Linked DNA regions of Xenopus tropicalis. The protein of the gene in region 1 interacts with the protein of each later gene in a biochemical or structural test. Links are inferred from orthologs where the notes say so. Each region holds a gene or a part of one and is shown in the gene's direction. Other genes may lie near its edges. The genes, in order: fgf9, fgfr3 and fgfr1.

The links.
Region 2: the proteins of fgf9 (region 1) and fgfr3 form a complex in vitro, tested with the Homo sapiens proteins (3 studies listed by BioGRID and IntAct, with this or other methods). The link is inferred for Xenopus tropicalis from reciprocal best matches to the Homo sapiens genes FGF9 and FGFR3.
Region 3: the proteins of fgf9 (region 1) and fgfr1 interact in a biophysical measurement, tested with the Homo sapiens proteins (2 studies listed by BioGRID and IntAct, with this or other methods). The link is inferred for Xenopus tropicalis from reciprocal best matches to the Homo sapiens genes FGF9 and FGFR1.

Annotation. Positions count from the first base shown.
Region 1 is NC_030678.2:157,500,669-157,505,025, reverse strand, and holds the start of fgf9 (fibroblast growth factor 9), read left to right. Parts: upstream 1-1,557; 5' UTR 1,558-2,373; coding exon 2,374-2,650; intron 2,651-4,357.
Region 2 is NC_030677.2:20,895,715-20,899,366, forward strand, and holds part of fgfr3 (fibroblast growth factor receptor 3), read left to right. Parts: intron 1-29; coding exon 30-153; intron 154-1,320; coding exon 1,321-1,511; intron 1,512-3,288; coding exon of another isoform or gene 3,289-3,436; intron 3,437-3,652.
Region 3 is NC_030679.2:130,977,159-130,980,810, forward strand, and holds part of fgfr1 (fibroblast growth factor receptor 1 precursor), read left to right. Parts: coding exon 1-54; intron 55-1,491; coding exon of another isoform or gene 1,492-1,642; intron 1,643-2,923; coding exon 2,924-3,068; intron 3,069-3,652. UniProt on the Homo sapiens protein: Tyrosine-protein kinase that acts as a cell-surface receptor for fibroblast growth factors and plays an essential role in the regulation of embryonic development, cell proliferation, differentiation and migration.

The DNA of each region.
Region 1 (4,357 bases):
ATGAAGCATCAGCTCGTACTCGATCCTACCTAAGCTGAATGAATCCACATTGGTGGCAAATCAATCATATTGGGTTTATTGAATGTTTAAATGCATTTTAGCGCGCTTAAGGTATGGAGATCCAAATTACAGAAAGATCCCTTATCCAAAAAAACACAGGTCCCAAGCATTCTGGATAACAGATCCTAAACTTGTAATTTTTAAAAATTTTAATAGAAGGGGCACGAGTTTTTATGTACTGACCACTAAACTCCACTTAAACTTTTGATAAATCTGCCCCTAAGTGTCCCAACTTTGAGGGATGGGGGAAAAATAGGTCAGGGTACCCAGTCTGCAGCCCTCAGGCTATTACTGAACTACAAATACAGCTTCTCCTGGGAACTGTAGTTTAACAACAGGTAAAGGGCTCACAAAATGCCCTCTCTACCCCAGGGGCAAAACTAAAGCTGGCCATACACACACCGATGAAATCGTAGGAAACCTCGTTTTGTCTGATTTTCAGACTGTGTGTGAATTATTGTCCTGATCATTTCCGTACCTTGGCAATCGGTTGTTTAGGTGATCAGCCAGCTTATAAAATTTTGGTGGGATAATGATAAAATCTGTGAATGTATTGTATATCGACGATATCCTTGGGGGGCCTACAATGGAATTCACTTTCGTACGATGGGTGTCTGCCAACTATTTCATGTTAAGAACATCCTCTGATTTGTAGTTTAAGGGCTTTATACTACAATATCAGTTTAAATGATAGTTTCAGATTGTTGCATTTAAACGTACAACCAATATCTGAACATTTGTCGGATAAAGACTAGAATCAGAGCTTGTATGGCCACCTTAAGGAGAGGCGGCTACCTAGGGCAAAGCTTGAGAGGAAGGAGAAAAATGTCAGAATTCCTGCAGTTTCCTCTGCACCCTCTCTTCACAGAGCACTGGGATGGGGGACTGGCACAAGCGGCGGCTGTGGGGACCATTTAGGAGGGGTTGCTAAGTCTGGGGGTAGGTGAGTAGAAGGGTAGGGGCAGAAATTTACTTTGGGCAAGATTGGGCACCCATATGTTTCAGCCTGGCACTGCTGTACCCTAACCTAGAACTGTCCCCTTAGTGGTGTAACTAGAAATTCCTGAACCCCACAGCAAATTCACTTTATACACCGCTCAATTAAAGAGTGGGTTTTCCTTGACATATATAGAAGGGGCCCCTCATATCTCCTGTAGCCATGCCCTTGTATCTTCTTGTTCAGTGGCCCATTAATAAACCTGGGGCACTTATCTGGATAACAAAGCAGCCATGCAGCTTGTCTCTTCGGTAAGTGCCCGGTTAAAAGAAGAAGTCATTAGGCAGCTCCTCAATATTATTCATATCCAGGAAAAAAAAAAACAAGAAACCACACTAATCTTGCAAGGACTTTAGACTGCACCTCCGTACGAGCCACAGACAGGGATGAGAAGCAGAGGCAGCAGTCGCTTGTGGCGTTCAGCGAGTTCTCCCAGCGCCGCAGCCGGCGGGCAGTAGGACCCAGAGGCAGAGAGCGCCTAACTTAAACCCAGCCCAATGCCTGGCTGCTGCGCCACTCTGCGAGCTGGATGGAGAGGCTCAGTCAGGAGCCGCAGCCTGAGAGCTGGAGACTTCCCAGGGAGCCCGCCTGCACAGCAGCAGCAGCAGCAGCACTAACACCTGTTCCCAGGCAGCAGCAGCCCATGCTCCTTCCTGATCCCCCCTGCAGCAGCAGCAGCACCACTGCAAGCCAGACCCCTGCAGCAGCAGCACCTGAAAAGTTTCCTTTCTATTTATTGTGCTGCTTCCTCTCGCTGTTATTATTCCATGCCCTCTCTAGCTGGGGCTTCATGCTGATCTATGCAGTCTGGGATAGACTAATAACAGCGCATGCCTTCCTCTTGTGTCAGGAGCCACAAATCTGACGTAGCCTATGGTTGTGCATCTTCCACCAAAAAAAAGAGAGAGAGAGAGAAATCTCCACTGATCGCCTGGCTAATTAAGTTGCTATGAGCATTGTGATCCTAGAGCAAATGGAGCAACTAGGGATTTTACCCCTGCCTGCCATTGGATGGACTGCAGAGCTGCCAGACTGCTGAGGGGATAATCATGTGGAAGGGGAGAGATGTCAGTGTGTGAGCTCCTCAGACTAGCACAGGCTTGACCTTGAACCTGCCAGCAGAACCTTTACTTTTATTGATGCACTGAATGGATTGATCTCCCTCCTCTCTGCTTCCCCAGGAAGAGTGGATACAGTATATATATTTTATACATATATATATATATATATATATACACACACACCTGAGCTGGGCTATTCCAAGCTCATTATCTGCTTATTCATCATCAGGGCGAGAGAGGAGAGAGCTGCTTCTGATGGCTCCCCTGGGTGAAGTTGGCAACTATTTTGGTGTGCAGGATGCAGTGTCTTTTGGGAATGTACCCGTCTTGCAAGTGGATACCCCTGTGTTGTTAAGTGACCACATGAGCCATTCTGAAGCAGGGGGGCTCCCCAGGGGCTCTGCGGTCACTGACCTGGAACATTTAAAAGGGATTCTCCGAAGGAGGCAGCTCTATTGCAGAACTGGGTTTCATTTGGAAATCTTCCCTAATGGGACTATCCAAGGGACCAGGCAGGATCACAACCGATTTGGTAGGTATTGTCTTCTGCCGCCCCCTTCCCGGGGATAGCAATTCCATAGGCTGCAGCTCTCCCAATGCAGGTACTCGCTCAGCAGCTGAGATGCAGCAGCCGGCTAAAAAGGCAGCATTTGGCCATGCAGCAGCGGCGGCTGTGAGAGCTACTTAATAAGAGCATGCTGTAAAGTTTCATTTATTGCACTGTATGTGGGCATGGACCAAAGCAGCGTTATATGGACTTTATAGAATTCTGCCAGTTGTTTCAGCAGATACTGGGGCAGGGCAATATCCCATCCCATTCATTTAGAGATGTCTGCAGTCTTACAGTTGTTATTTTACTATAATTCCCAGCATCCTCTGATAGTGAAACAGATGAAAATCCCTACCTTATTGCCTGTCTGCAATGCTGTATTTAGGAATAAACACCAGGGGTTGTTGGCACCCAAGTGTCAGCTCACCTTTGCTTCTAACTGCCAGCTGATATATGATTTTATTATATTTAAGTGGTGCAATTTATTGATTTGGGTCAACACTATATTATTACGATTCCCCAAGTTTATCAGATTTAAACTCTGGATTTTATTTGCCCTTAGGAATACTCTGGTTGCTTGGCGTGATATTTATAGTCTGGGATTTTCTTGTTCGGTGTACCTTAGCGCTTGGGGGCTATCGAACACAACAGTCCAATTTTAGAAAGGTGTGGCCCCTGGGGGGTTATAGCATGAGCAGCACAAATGGTTTGCCATTTGCTTTTCCCAAATTCCTGTGTGATTGCAGTTATACCATCAAGGACCCATCTGCTGTATGGATGGATAAAGACACAGGACTAATTTTAAAGAGCATGCCTTGGATTTCATTCTATAGGGTGCTATTTGTGACTCAGCATTAGGAGCTGGAGACTGGAGGGCGCAACCCCCCCACCCATATGCTTTTAACTCCTTCCCAAGCTGAAGAAGAGAGAGAGAAATTTTGTTCTGCATTGCTGCATTCAGGCAGGGGCCAGACCCAAATGAGATCCCTGCAAAGCAGTGCTGGGGAAAATGTATTTAATATTCCCCTGCAGAGGGGTGGGGGCATCAATATCTAACTGTGCCAGGGTCAAAACCCACCTGAAAACTGTATTTTCATTTTTAACACTTTCCAAGCTGTATAGAGTAAAGTGCAGATAAGATTCATGTTCCATGTCAGGGGGCTGGGGGGGCATAATGATTACACACAGTGAGTGGCCCCCAGGATTCAGGAATTAGTTTGCTAAATGTGGACCCCAGTCCTACTGTATGGTGTTTCTTATAGAGATGATGATGATGAGGGACCAAGGGCACAGGAATGAGCAGGCATCTCTCCATCATTCAGGGAAGTTGGACTTTTTCCATTCAAGCAGGTCCAACCTTTGGTCAGAGCCCCCTTTAATTTATAAGAAGATTAGAGAGTCAGGGTTTTAGCCATAGTTCCAAGAATATGTAGAACAAAAAAATTAGTTTTTACTCCAAATTACTAACAGACATTGAAGCTGGACTTTAAGGTATATGTATAAACAACCCCCCCCCCCCAAGTTTTCACCCTAACTGGCCTTAAGGCTGAGACCCCCCTGCCGCTGCTGCAGGGCCAACCCCACAGTGTAGGGAAGCTCTGCCTTAGGGAAAGCCACAGGGGCAGGGGAGCTGACTTCCAGCTAACGGGGGGCTATAAGTCTGGGATAGGTGGGGTCCTCAGCTTTGCG
Region 2 (3,652 bases), on another chromosome or scaffold:
TAACTTGCTGCATGTTTTCTTTATTGTAGCTCCGACATCAGCAGTGGAGCCTTGTTATGGAGAGCGTGGTCCCATCGGATAAAGGCAACTACACGTGTGTGGTGGAGAACAAGTATGGAAGCATCCGTCAAACCTATCAACTTGACGTCCTGGGTAAGGCTACCGGGCATTATCTATGCTGGTGCTGTAGAGGAAATGGCTTTTAGGAACGTCAAGGGCTTGCTTGTCTAGACATTAGTTTAGAACAACTTGAGCTTATTTGGCCCATTCATAGTAAGGCTAATTCCATGTAAATTGTATCATTCATATGCATGAGAGGCCCTGAACACTTGCCTTGTTGGGGACCCTCCCACCCTTTAGTGGCTGCTGAAGGAGCTGTGTGTGCTAGGGTTACAATACCTGTTTTGTTTGTTGTGCTGTTTATGCTCTTATAGCTGCGGATGGGTGAGGAGATTATGTTCCTGGCAGCCCTACAATAGGTTCCTAATGGTTGCCTAAATCCCGGGAAATGTAACTCCATTGCTGGCAGGTTCCAGGTCTAATGTTGCGGTGGCTTGCCAGCTTTTTATAGAGGTTTCTTCATGAGCTTCAGGTGGTACAATGCCTCCTCAGGAAATGGAGGGATTCAGGTCTCTAGGCCTCACGTACAACAACATCTCCGAGGAGCTTTCATGTAGGTCCAGTGAAAGGGTAAAGAATCTGCCAGAAAAGGGCTTTGGCAGGGACACCTTAAAACCTGTTTATTTAAAGATTGGTGGGGGGAACCAAATATTTTAATGGAAGTTTGTTTAAAAAATATTGTGGCCTTGGAGATGGGTTTAAGCATGAAAACGGCTCTCGGGTCTGGAGAAGGAGTCGAGTCTGTAATTTCATGGAAAAATGTCAATAGACACAACAATGATGTGCACTGTAACCACGGACATTTGTATTTATCTGTTCCGTGCCTCTTCTTCGGGGGCCAAAGGAAAGTGACACATCATCTCCGGCGTTCTGTAGGGTTTCTAAATAGAAATGTCTAAAGGATATGCATATAAATGAAAACTGAACTACAGTTAATGGAAGATAAGCCTCCCATTTGATATGGGAAATATATGGGAGCTGACATTTTGTTACCAGAGATGGTAATGGTAGTCCTCTCTATTGAGACACAGTGCCCCTAGTGGTCAGAAATTACCATTATTTGGGAAGTTATTTTAGTGCTGTAGTGCAAATGAATGAGGTGCCCAGAACATTCCTGCCTTGCATGACTGTAGTTATGAGTGGGAGTCGCCATGTTTGCACCCCTTTAGCCTAACATGAAGCCTTGTTTCCGGTTTGTAGAGCGGTCCTCTCATCGGCCTATCCTTCAGGCCGGGTTACCTGCTAACCAAACAGTTGTGATTGGGAGCGACGTAGAATTCCACTGCAAAGTGTACAGTGATGCCCAGCCTCATATTCAGTGGCTGAAACACGTGGAAGTAAATGGCAGCAAGTACGGCCCAGACGGAGATCCTTACGTCACCGTGCTGCAAGTAAGTTGCCTTATAGCAAATGTGCCGCAGACCAATGCTGTTTTTTCTTTTTTTGTATTGTACAGGTATGGGATCCCTTATCCGGAAACCCATTATCCAGAAAGCTCCAAATTACGGAAAGCCTGTCTCCCATAGACTCCATTTTAATCAAATAATTCAGAATTTTAAAACTGATTTCCTTTTTCTCTGTAATAATAAAACAGTACCTGTACTTGATCCCAACTAAGATATAATTACCCCTTATTGGGGCAGAACAGCCCTATTGGGTTTATTTAATGGTTAAATGATTCCCTTTTCTCTGTAATAATAAAACAGTACCTGTACTTGATCCCAACTAAGATATAATTACCCCTTATTGGGGCAGAACAGCCCTATTGGGTTTATTTAATGGTTAAATGATTCCCTTTTTTCTGTAATAATAAAACAGTACCTGTACTTGATCCCAACTAAGATATAATTACCCCTTATTGGAGGCAGAACAGCCCTATTGGGTTTATTTCATGGTTAAATGATTCCCTTTTCTCTGTAATAATAAAACAGTACCTGTACTTGATCCCAACTAAGATATAATTACCCCTTATTGGGGGCAGACCAGCCCTATTGGGTTTATTTAATGGTTAAATGATTCCCTTTTCTCTGTAATAATAAAACAGTACCTGTACTTGATCCCAACTAAGATATAATTACCCCTTATTGGGGGCAGAACAGCCCTATTGGGTTTATTTAATGGTTAAATGATTCCCTTTTCTCTGTAATAATAAAACAGTACCTGTACTTGATCCCAACTAAGATATAATTACTCCTTATTGGGGGCAGAACAGCCCTATTGGATTTAATTAATGGTTTATTGATTTTTTAGTAGACTTAAGGTATGGAGATCCAAATTACGGAAAGACCCCTTATCTGGAATACCCTTGGTCCCGAGCATTCCGGATAACGGGTCCTATACCTGTACCAAATGTCTGTACAATTCCTTTTTAAAGGGATACCATTGCCATGTATTACCCCTTTAATAACCACATTTCATTGGATCCCATTGCCTCCTACTCAATGTTAGGATGACATAAAGCTCACAGGCCTCTTCCATAGACTGCAGCCCCATAATCCTTTGCTTCTGGCTGCTCCTCGTACATCACTAGTTAGGGATATATGGGATTATAAGAAAAAGCTTTGGTGTGGAGAGGCACACTGCCTGTTTATAATGGGCTATGTCACCGGCAGCTTCAGACCGCAGCTTTTGCTTATATTTTGTCTCCGGATCCTATTTATAAATCCGGGTAATTGAGACAGCATTTACACTAATGCGGGTAGGAAGCTGAATTTCTCGGCCAGTGTTTGTCTTTGCTGAATATCCTCTCAGCAGATTTACAGACCATGCCTTTATATTCTTAAAGAATCCATTAAAAACAGATTTCAGCCTCTGCTTTATTTTCATTTGTTTTTGTCTGACATGTGGACACAGCTTGCATTAGGTTCCAATCCCAGAATGCTGAGAAGTGCATTGTGGGTTATATACAAGATGGCCGCCAAATGGCTGTGTTTACATTAATATTAGCCTGACTTGTATTTGGTTTCTGCATCCAGAACAGTTACATTTATGATGTTTACAGGCTTTACAGCAGGAATCAAAGTCTGTGTATAAGGACTCAAAGGCAGTTCTCCCAGCTTGGACCTCACCTGTAGACATCTCAGCAATACAATGTGTTATCTAGTATCCGTAGCAATGTTCCTTTTTTTACCCTTTAACCAAAGTCACAGCATCTGTCTGTTCCTGCAGTCTTTCACCAATGGCACTGAAGTCGATACTACCCTAAGTCTAAAAAATGTGACAGAGACCCATGAAGGACAGTATGTGTGTAGAGCCAACAATTTCATAGGCGTAGCTGAGGCGTCCTTTTGGCTCCACATTTACAAACCAGCATCAGGTAAAACTATAGGCACCCAAAACAATCATCTTGGTATGAAAGGAAAGAAAGGAATCTTTATCAAGTCCTTGGGTGCTCTGATAACAGTCTCTCTGGTTCCTTGGGTGACTTAACATCTGCAGCTCTTTCTGCCTCTTCAACACTGAAATACATTGGATTGTAGCGCAACAGGACCCACAACTAGCTAACCTTCCTCCCCCCTACACCCTGGCATAA
Region 3 (3,652 bases), on another chromosome or scaffold:
ATTAATGGCAGCAGAGTGGCCTCGGATGGCTTCCCGTATGTGGAAATCCTCAAGGTAAATACATCTGTTGTCCTATGTGCCATGTGTTGTTTGGCTCCCTGCAAGGCGAGACACTCCTTCTGTTACAGTTACGCTTATTTTCCCTTCCTTTTGTTGTTTTTTTAATCCACCTATGACGCCCTAGGAGGACAGAGTTGCAAACAGATGCAGCGTGCTGACTCTCCTGAATGTAATTACCAATAAGTGCATTATTTATTAACCAGGGTGCTGCTAAATATAGCTGCGGACACAAACACGTCCCGGCTGCTTTCTGCGTTTTATCTTCAGGAACAAGATAGGTAGAGAGTTGCGGTAGGTCTCTCTCCCTTTGTCTGGAAAGTCATTTTGAATTTTCACCGAGGAGGAGCAGGCACACTTAGTTAGCAGTGATCCCCAACCAGTGGATCAGGAGCAACATGTTTCACCAACCCCTTGGATGTTGCTCCCAGTGGCCTCAAAGCAGTTGCCCGTTTTTGAATTTCCAGTTGAATTTTGGAGGCATAAAGACCATGTGTCCTGCCAAACAGAGCCTCCTGTCTGCTGCCAGTCCACATTGGGCTACCAGATAACAAATCACAGCCCTTATCGGCCACCCCTTTGGAACTTTATTCATGCATGGGTTATATTATTTAAATGTTAAATGTTGTTCACAGCTAAAGGTTTGGGACCCCTGGTCTATAGTATGGCAAGGGTGCTTTTGTTATACTGCAACTCTCCCCATTACAGTAGGTGTTCAACAGCTGAACAGCTTCTGGTTGAATTCCCTTGAACGCAGGTCATAAATGTTGCTTTTTATAAATACTTATGCCCAATATTTTACCCTTTCCTGCAGTTCAGCCAAAGGGGCATCAGTGCCTACCCTAATGCACTAAGCAGAAAACAGGCATCAAAACTTTCTGACAAATGTTAACATCCACAAACCTTGGTGGACCCAGGTCTCACTTCCTAGAGTTTGTCATAGTATCTAATGATTATGTTATGGCCTTCCAGGAACTCCTAGCAACCAATTAGTAAAAACACTGATTGTTTTGAGTTGCTGGCCTGGTTTAACATTCATATATCTTTGTCATAAGGTTTTAAACCCATTGTACATAGAGCTTGTTGTACCAGCACAGTAGTAGTGTTCATACTAACACTGGGCAAATATCGGCACAGTGCAGTAAGTCCAAAAACCCTACATGTCTCCAAAGTTCCATCCTGAAGTTCCACATTTCTTTTTTTAATCTTGATCCAACCTCTCCCTTGTGCCAGGGGCACACTGCTCATGCTCAGTCTGATCATTATGGAGCAGACCTTAGAACTAGCTCTAAACATTTGGTGCACTATTTATGCTTTGAGTGAAGATGGCACAGGAGAGTTTAATAAATGGCCACAGAGGCATTTATATGATGTTTGTGTATGTTCGTCTTTCCTTTGTCATTTTGATTCCCTCCTGTTATCGGTTTGTTTCAGCACTCTGGGATTAATAGCTCAGACGCAGAAGTTTTGACCCTTTACAATGTGACTGAGGCAGAGAGTGGGGAATACATATGTAAAGTGTCCAATTATATTGGTGAGGCCAATCAGTCTGCGTGGCTTACCGTCACCAGACCCGTGACAAAAGGTAAAATCGGTGGCACCTCCTGGAAAAAAAATGGTTTTGGTACAATATCTCTGCCAGACTCTTGGACAGAAACAATTATATTTCTTCCCCTTTTTAATGTGCTTTTATTTCCATGGAAAAATACTTGGTGTGTGAGGCTGGTTTTAGTTTCATTGTGTTTCTGCTTTATTCTCTTATTCTTTCCTTATTTCTAACCTGTTTTTAATTCGGTATTATTATTTCTTTCTTGTTTTACACACTTGAGATTTCTACCTTCTCCTCAACCCCACATGATATTGATTTATCAGCCATGTTTGTTCTAAACTGAACTGACCTAGGCTAGTGTTTATTTTTGCGCACAGTAGGCTGATGGGAAATAAGATATGGCCACCACACAACTAAATTTACCATCTCCGTTCCACCGGCTTCCATCTCATGAAGTGCCCAAATTCCCCAGGCAGCATACTGAATGTACCCTGTCTTGGAAAAAAAGGAAAAGAGCCACTGCATAGTCACCATAGAAGGCAGTGGGTCCCCTTTTAGGATTATTTGTAATATGAAACACTCATATATAGGTATATCATGCCACATTACAATGGAGTGATATCTAAAGATAAATGGTGTAGCCAACATATCTACAAAACTTGGCTGAAGTAAATATCCACGCCTAGTGGCTTCTGCTATATTTTTCAATAGAGTATGCACCAGGAACTACAACTGGCTGTAGCGTACTGGAGATGTCCTTGGCACTTCTGTGCTCATTGTACCAGATCCCCATGACCATGTGACTTTTCTTTATTAAACGTCTTTTATTCTGAAAATGTTCTCACAGTTCCTTCTATCCTAATTTTCTTCTTTAGCATCTTCAACTCTGTCCTAATTCTATTCTTCATCATCTTCTCTGTCCTATTTCTCCATTTTCTTCTGTCTTAATTCTCTTTTACCCTGTCCTAATTCACCTTAGCGTCGTCGTCTTCTCTGTCCTGATTATCTTCTTCAGCATTTCCCTTTGAAATTAAACCAGGCTTCCACAACAGGTCTCATTTTTCCATGTTGCCAATCTCTAGCATGTTCCAATGGGAAGGAGGTCTCGATTTTTTTTTTTGGTGACGGGTTTAACCAAGGTAGCTTCTCCTTAGGTGGAACTTGATGGAAGAAGCTATCGTAAATCTTCTAACCAGGTTTCTTGCAATGGTTTCTTTTCTTTATACCCTGGGACCTCTGGTTCCAAGGCAACAACCTGCCTTCTGCTCTTTTGGTTTCTGATGGCTTTTCCTCCCTCTACGATGCTCTTATCTGTAGACTGCAGGAGTCAACACCTCGGACAAGGATATGGAGGTTCTCCACCTGAGAAATGTTACTTTTGAGGATGCTGGCCAGTATACCTGCTTGGCCGCTAACTCCATTGGGATATCTCATCATTCTGCATGGTTGACCGTTCTTGAAGGTATATATGGTTCTGTTCTGTCCTATCTGACTATACCTCTAAACATTTCATGCATTTCAGAGCCAAAGGATTCCAACAAAGCAAACACATATAACAGCTCTAATAAGTGATTATTTTATCATGAGTTGGTCAGGTTATATTTAGTGTATTAGTACAAACTTTATCATGTAATAGCCTCTTTTTTTGCCATTTAACCCAACGGCTACTCAAATGGTCATACTTTTGAAAGTAAAGACATTTGAGAAAATGAACATAATAAATCAACAAAATATACAGCAGGCAAAGCAGAGAGAAAATTCTCTGCTATCTTTATGAGCCTTTTCCTATTAAAGAAGAATTCTAGTATAATGACACTGTTGGGATCTTTGTATAATTATACACTGTAACATACCACCTTCAGTTACATTGGGAATAGCCTAGAGGAAGGAGAAAATGATGATGACAACCTTGAATAAAGCTACACACACACTTAGGCTTGTGCTAAATCCCTGTGTTGTAAAATATAAGAGTGTAGGTTCCAATTCACTCATTCTCATTTTAAATGGCTTGACCACCCAATAGCAAGTTAAGCAGCCATTTTGGGC